Linked DNA regions of Rattus norvegicus. The protein of the gene in region 2 purifies or fractionates together with the protein of the main gene of each other region. This does not show direct contact. Links are inferred from orthologs where the notes say so. Each region holds a gene or a part of one and is shown on either strand. Other genes may lie near its edges. The genes, in order: Nsf and Scfd1.

Region 1 (3,822 bases), on a different chromosome or scaffold from region 2:
AGGCCAATTTTCCTATCTCGTCTGGTCTCCATTTACGGGTCAGTAATAAACTTCCAAACCCTGCTAAACTGAAGCTCATCTAGGCTACCACACAACTCCCTTTCATTAACCTTTCATCCAACCAAATTAGCTAAGTTGTTGTATGGAAACACTGTATGTCTCACGTAAACTCCGCTAGCTCCAGAAGCGTCACTGACAGCAAGCGCTGGCTCACAGCTCCTAGTGTGTGTGAGATACATGTATTTACCTAGACCTGGGCCTATGAAGATATGTGGAATGAATCTGGTGGCTTGTCACATGGGGATTAAAAAAAAAAATACAAAAACAAAAAACTAACGACTCTAAGGACTGAAAAAATTAAACCTACAAATTCTCTCATGATACAAACTGTTTAATTTAAATGTCAGACTGTCACCTAAAGTAACTCCAGAGAACCAAGCCTGTCTTGGACACAAAGAACAAGATGCCTTATGGTACGCTCTAAACAGAAAAAGGGGGAAATACAATTTTTACAAAGCCAAAGAAGATAACACCACACTTTAAAAAAAAAAAAAAATCAGGTAATTTTCTGGTTAGAATTTTGTAGACTAAAGCTTTCCTTTAGAGGATCAAAAATATTTTGCTTATACTCTACTGCCATCTTGTGGTCAAGTTTACTGCAAACCAAATCACTATACAAATTCATTTTCCAACTGAAAAGTTGTTTCAAGTTAACTTGAAAACACCTACGAAAGTTATAGACCTGCCTTGGGATAAGGTATTTTAACAAAAGATGTACGAAAGTAAAATACAAGAAAAATCACATCAAAAATATCCGGTGTCAGTAGTAGGACATGATGGCCTTCATAAAAATAATTTTGGGGAGGGCATTAAAATCCTATTGTAGAGATATAGTTAAGATGCTTGAAACATGTTAAGCAAAAAAAAAAAAAAAAAAAAGAAGCAAGTTAGGGGTTACTGGTGTGGTAAGTTAAGGCTCTTATGGATGAATAGCATGAGTTTGAACCCTGGGGCTCACACAGTGGAACTGACTCGAAAGTTGTCCTCTGACCTCCAAACATGTACTATGCCACACATGCTCAAACACACAAACTATGCAGGATAAATTATGAAATAATATACAAATAAAATCAAATTTAGAGCAAGAGTTTATGCTTGTCCGTAGGCATGTGGCGTGCACCTTTGATCCCAGCATGTTAGGGCGCTGGAAGCCAGAGGTCTACAAGTTCGAGGCAAGTCTGGGCTGGTGAAAAGACTCAGCAGTTAAGATCATGCACTGCTCTTACACAGGACCTTAGCCTGACTCTCAGCACGCATGCTGAGAGCCTTCAAACCACCCACAACACCAGGTCCAGGGGATCTGACGCCGCCCTGTGGCCTCCAAGGACACCTGGACACAGTACACATACTCACACAAGGACACACACAATGGAAAATAAGACAATCTTTTGCTAGAAAGGTAAAAGAAATAGCAATAGAGACTGGTAAGTAAATTATTGACTAAAAGACAAAACACCCCCCCCCCCCGCCAAAAACAAAACAAAACAAAACTCCCCTAAACTACATTTAAACAAAGTTAAGTAATTTTGGACAAGGCTGTGTAGCCAATGAAAAACTTCTCTATTCTACCGGGACAGGCGTGAATGTAATTGTGTCAACCACAAATTAGAGTTAGCACATCTTAACATCTCCAAGTAAGGCTAGTAAACAAGACCCAATGTGTTGGAAGAAAAGCTATATGTGGGGTGGGATGGGCATGAATGAGACCCTGGAAGAGAGAAGGGGAACAATGGAAACCTCGGTGAAATCCAAGCTAAGGCAGTAGTGTGGGCAGCAGCAAGGGGTCCACGGGAAACGGACAATGGCTACTGGGATCCTGTGAGCTACATTCGCAAGTATTTGTGAGCCTAAAATTATCATAGAATTTCAAACTGAGAAACGTCATTGCTTCTTGTTAATTGTTTTTAAGTATGGCTATGAGAAAAGAAAATTAAAATGTGCCTATGCGTTTCCCATTGTTACAGCTGAGGCCTTTAGCTCTTGTATCAGTGCATCTACAAGCCTTAGGGAAGGGTCTCCCCCCCACCCCCACCCATCCCACAGTAATATGAGACATTGCCACTTCGTTTGAAATTTTCTAAGACTGTAAATCTTACCAATAAGATTGAGTGATGAGTTTTCTGCTTTTTCAAATGCAACTTGACTGTTTCCAACGACCAGTCCTACTTCAATCTGAACAGAAAGGTGATAATTAGTACATGATAGATGTTTCAAAGCAAGGCTAGATTTGAGGGGGAAAGGAAGTCTTTCAGTGCAAAGCAAACGTTGCCACCGGTCATCTGAGTTACATTTGCTTTTCTCATAGCTATCTGCTACAATTCCTACATGTAGGTTGATGTCATTATGCAGGTGAAGGCAGACAAGAAAAACGAGGCCTATCACTGGACGAGAAGGAAGGGAGGCAGGAACAGAGGCTTTAGAAGGGAGGGGATAAGGAGAAGGAGCTGGGAGAACATGGCGGCAGATGTTAAGATTCTTCTCTGCGCATAGGTACAGGCTATGAATATGTTTAAGGGATGGGTGTGTGCAGGATTTTGTGCTGTTTAGATGGGCAAATTATATCTTATCAATTGAATCAGGGGTTATTGCGTGGTATGTTTTTTCATGTGTCGACATAATTGAGTTCAAGAGAAGGTATAATGGTGGGATGCACCAAGCCCGCCACGGAATTGAGATGTATATGCCTGGTGTGGTAACAACCGCCAGGGGAACTATGAGTGAAAGCAAAGTAGCGTGGCAAGGTGGAATGGTTCACAGACCACTCAGGTCAGAGGGAGCTCGGGAGAGTAGCGCAGAGCAGTATACGTGAGAACCAGTCACATGGCCTTTTTTTTTTACTGAAACACCTACAGGGCAATGTCTGCGTCTTCACAGTTAGTCTCCGTTGACTTAGACTAGATACTGGTGTTCAGCTAGTAGATCTGCAGTTAGATGTACTTGAATTCCTATTTCCATATCGACACAGGCTGCAGCAACAGGGAGGGCACAGGGAGAGCACACAGTAGGACAGGAGAATAGTCGGAAACATATCAGCCTGTACACATCATGTCAAAAAGATTACCTAGCAAAGATGAGGAGAAAGGCTCACCTTCTGCCTTTTACCTGACGCAGGCTCTCCCTTCAGGATGCTGGGATCCATGGCTTCGATGTCCTTCACCAGCAATCCAAAGAGCTTATCATTGAAGCTAAAGACAAGCTGTGGAAGGAAGGGATGGGAGGAAGGTTAGCTCATGGCACAATGGTTCCCTGCCACGTCAATGTTTTCCAGAGTGAAAAACCACTCTTCTCGGGTCTTCTCCATAGTCACACCACTCACAGACCCAGTGACAGGAAAAGGAAACTCGTGCATCAGTATGACAGGTGATGACTTAGTCAACACTCACAAACACTTTGGGAAAATACTTGTAAGAAAACCCAGATCCAGCAGGGCAGTGACGGTATCAGCCTTGAATCCCAGTCCTCAGGAGGCAAAGGCAGGAGGATAGCTACAAGATCGAGGCCAGTCTGGTCTATAGAGCAGACAGTTGAGGTTACATAGAGAGACCCAGTCTCAAAAAGCAAACAAACAGGACAGCTGAGATCCAGAAACAGACTATACATCAGGGTTCAGACACAGTAAATGACGGTGCTGGGTCAGCCCTTCCTATAAATACGAAATGCCAGCCACACAAGTGCATAGAGCCTTGTAAACCCAACAGTCCATTTACGAAGGACCTGCAGAATGCCTTTTACAAGCTAGGCCTCCTCTACGTGTTGAGCTGT
Region 2 (3,922 bases):
AAAAAATCTGGAGTTAGATAAACAGCTACAGTAAATTTAGCTCTAAAATCATGGTTTTTATTCTCATAATAATGCAGTATAACTATCATTCTTGGTCTTAGCTTTAATGATTTATGACTCTGAGGGATATATTTTTCTTTATATGTTTATTCCCCGCATTACACACTATCGGGCCGAAATACACAAACATGCACACTGTATAGTGATGTTCGGATTGTCTTAGTATTTTATGATAATGTGCCTTATATAGTCTTGGCAAACTGAAATGGTAAAATGACAAATTTGTACTTAAAAGTGGAATGCTCAGGTAAATACGATTAAACTCAAAATGGAAGGTGGGAAAGACATTCTGCTTCCATGGACGCCAGAATCAAGAATACTTCCCCTACGACGCAAACTGTTAACTTTAGATAGCCTGTTGTAACTTTATAAAAATAGTTATCTTTATATCTGTCAAATAGAGATCATGTTTTTATTGTAAAAAATGTGATCTTGATTTTAAAAAATAAATTATTTGTATAATTTTGAAAGACAAGTTTTTCAAGGTATGATTTCATCTCAGAATCTGACTGCCTCAGAATTAACCCCTAATGCAATGTCATCGGTGGATTCATTTTGATTGGTAATAAGTTGTCATTGTATATATTTTTGATATTAATAAAATCTATTTGTAAACGGTCTATATGGGATTTATTTCACAATCACAGTGCTTTAAATCTACCAAAGCTGTCAGTGATCATCCAAATTCTGCTCAAAATCATTTGTTGTTTTTAGTACACTCCTGAGAAGAAATTGTGCCATTTGGCTTTTCTGTGATTTTATACCCTAGCAGGCCAAAGCCCTAACCTAGGTCATTTTCATGAAGAAATTGCACTGAGAATATTACGTTTGTAGGTTTTGTTTTCAGAGAAAAGAAGAAATTGACACAACTGTCATGGAAATCAAGAAAACGCAATTTCTGGCATTTCATTTGGTCTTGTAATTTTTATGAGGATTTAAACTTCATGAAAAGTGTACTATCAATTAAATTCTAAGCGCTTCTCTGTCCTCATGCCCTGAGAAGCAAAATAAAAGTAGCGACCTCAGGAGGCTTTTCCTGATTGGTGGGAATCGCTGCTGGGAATTCGGGAAAAACCATTGTCTGGGACTAAAGGGGAGGGCCCGGACTGAGGAGGCGGGTCTGCTATCTCTGCACCCGCCCCCTGGATCTACTTCCGGCGCGGGAGGTAGAGCCACGTCATCTTCAGGCTCCGAGTGCCAGCCGGGCAGTGAATGGTGGGAAGCAAGATGGCGGCCAGCATTCGGGAAAGGCAAACAGGTACTCACTCAGTCTTTCCTTCTTTTCAGTTTGTGCCTGAGCGGCGACCTGTCATCACCTCTGAGTTGTAGAAACAGCCCGGAGTTGAGCTTCAAGAGCTGCTCTACTTTGAGGTTGTGAGGGAGAGATGCTTTACAGCCTTTGCCTGTGTTACAAGAGGCTTAAGTAGGCTGGCTGTTTGCTATAGTGTTAGCTACTTATTTTTTAATTACCGAGTTTCAGAAGGCCATCACGGCAAGGACTGGCAGCTGGTGTTTTCTTTCCTATATTGTCACTTAACGAGATCTATAGGTTTGTGTTCGTATTTCAAGCTTCCAGGTTGGTTTAATTTTCACTTTCAGTTTTAGTGATTTTAAAACCTGTTTTTGACACTTGAGCCATGATTACAAAATCTAAGTATTCTTTTCAGAGCTCCTTACTTTATGCCACCTTCTTTGGATTCTATTGGGCGAAGCTGAAGAAAAATGTCAGGTGATAATGATTTCCTCCTGCAGCTTGCAGGAAGAGACTTCAAAATGTCAAAACTAATTTAACAGAGTTGTATTTCAATTGTTTGACAGATAGTAATCTTAAAATGAAAAAGTTGTATCTTATAAGTAGAGCATATTTGTATACCTATTTATAAGGTAAAATTTAAAGATACTTATTTCTTCCCTTGATTTTAGGTTTGTTTTTTATGTGAGGTACTCCTGATTTTCCTTATTTCCAGTAAACAACTCTAGTAACTTTGTGTATTTATACTGGCTCCCAAATAATTATTTATACATATATATGTATATCATGTATAAATGTGATATGTGTAATTCCAAAATGATTTACATATTCTATACTAATTGTCTAGAAACTTCCAAGGAGACTAGAAATAGGCCATAAGCCATAAAGAACTTTAATTCTCTTGAATGTATGCTTATTTGTATTAAAAACAATTAGTTACAAGCAATAGCGTAGCAGTAGAATTTGAACTGTGCCTGATTCCTTCCTTCCCTTGTCTTAAAAAAATGATAGGGGGCTGGAGAGATGGCTCAGCAGTTAAGAGCACTGGCTGCTCTTCCAGAGGTCCTGAGTTCAAATCCCAGCAACCACATGGTGGCTCACAACCGTCTGTAACATGATTTGATGCCCTTTTCTGGCATGAAGGTGTATGTACAGATAGAGTACTTATATACATAAAACAAACAAACAACAAATAAAGTCTTTTAAAAGAAAGTACCATCACTTCAATAAACAAAGTGTATTAAAAATGATAGATTTGAATGCAGCATACTGAACAGAAAAGCATACTGAGTTGTATATTTCTCACTAGGTAATTTAGTAAAACTGGTCACGGTAAAAGATAACTTAAATATGGTAAACAAATACTATTTGAGAATACTTGATAATTTCATTTGCAAGCAAATAGAGGCTCAGCTTCTCTTAGAAGCTTGGTTCTAGTATCTTAATAAAACTAAGTGAATTAGATTTTACTACCCATCAGTAAAACTGTCCTAATTAAAGGGAACCTTTTAAAAGTTGAATTTACACAACAGTGCATTTTAATATGTAGACATTGTAAAGACTAAAACCTAATATTTCATTTTGTCTTTTTGATTATATCAAGAATCCACGTTATTACTATATAGCTTGTTATTAAACTCATACATAAATGGATCATGTGTTATTTTTAGAGCAAAATCCTTTGTAGGAGTAACATTTCATTGATTTCTGTTGAGAATATTTAGGAACAACAATCATCAAATATTCTAGGTAGTAGATTCTTTGCTGCAAAGTAGTTTGCAGTCTGTTTGGGTGGATGAGATGATAGTCAATGCACTGAGAATTTATTGGTTTGGGTAGTTTCCGTTATCTCCATTTTATAGATGAAGAAACTAAAGTACAAAGGTGTTACTAGCATGCCTGTTTCTTGGTCTGTGTCCCTGTAGTACCCTGCCACCTCAAATGCCACCTTCCTTGTGAAAGCTTCATGCATTACTTTTTCTCTTTCCTGTCTTCCATTCAACAGTTAAGAGTAAGCCGCTCCCTCCTCTTCCTATTGCGAGTTCTTGCTTGTCTGTCTCCCTTGTCTCTCAGCCCAAATCAATTACTTTGTCTCTTGCTGTATTTCATCTGGCCTCTTAGCTTTCAGTATTATATATGCTTGTGTCTTGGTCTTCTGTTGCTGTTAAGAGATATCAATCATGAACATGACAACTCTTATAAAGGAAAGCATTTAACTGAGGCTTGCTTACAGTTTCAAAGTTTAGTCCATTATCATCATGGTAGGGAGAACGTTGGCCTGCAGGCAGACATGATGTCAGAGAAGTAGCTGAACGTCGAACATCCAGGTCCACAGATAACAGGGAGATAGAGTCTAGGCTTGGAAGGCACTTTCTGAAACTTCAAAGCCCACCTCCAGTGACACACTTCCTCCAATAAGGCCACACATCCTAATCCTTTCAAATAGTGCCACTCCCTAGTGATCAAGTAGTCAGATCTCATTCTCATTCAAACCACTATAGCTGGTGATTCCCCGGTCTACAAGACTAGTGTAGACTTTTATTCTGAATTCAGACCATTTGATATTAACAAAAGCTTCTTATAGTTCCTCATGCAAAACTTCATGTGATT

What was found.
Region 1: the proteins of Scfd1 (region 2) and Nsf purify together in Homo sapiens (affinity purification with mass spectrometry; 3 studies listed by BioGRID and IntAct, with this or other methods). This does not show direct contact. The link is inferred for Rattus norvegicus from reciprocal best matches to the Homo sapiens genes SCFD1 and NSF.

What each region holds. Positions count from the first base shown.
Region 1 is NC_086028.1:89,315,572-89,319,393, forward strand, and holds part of Nsf (vesicle-fusing ATPase), read right to left. Parts: intron 3,257-3,822; coding exon 3,149-3,256; intron 2,233-3,148; coding exon 2,157-2,232; intron 1-2,156.
Region 2 is NC_086024.1:74,530,024-74,533,945, forward strand, and holds the start of Scfd1 (sec1 family domain-containing protein 1), read left to right. Parts: upstream 1-1,259; 5' UTR 1,260-1,272; coding exon 1,273-1,318; intron 1,319-3,922. UniProt on the Homo sapiens protein: Plays a role in SNARE-pin assembly and Golgi-to-ER retrograde transport via its interaction with COG4. Involved in vesicular transport between the endoplasmic reticulum and the Golgi.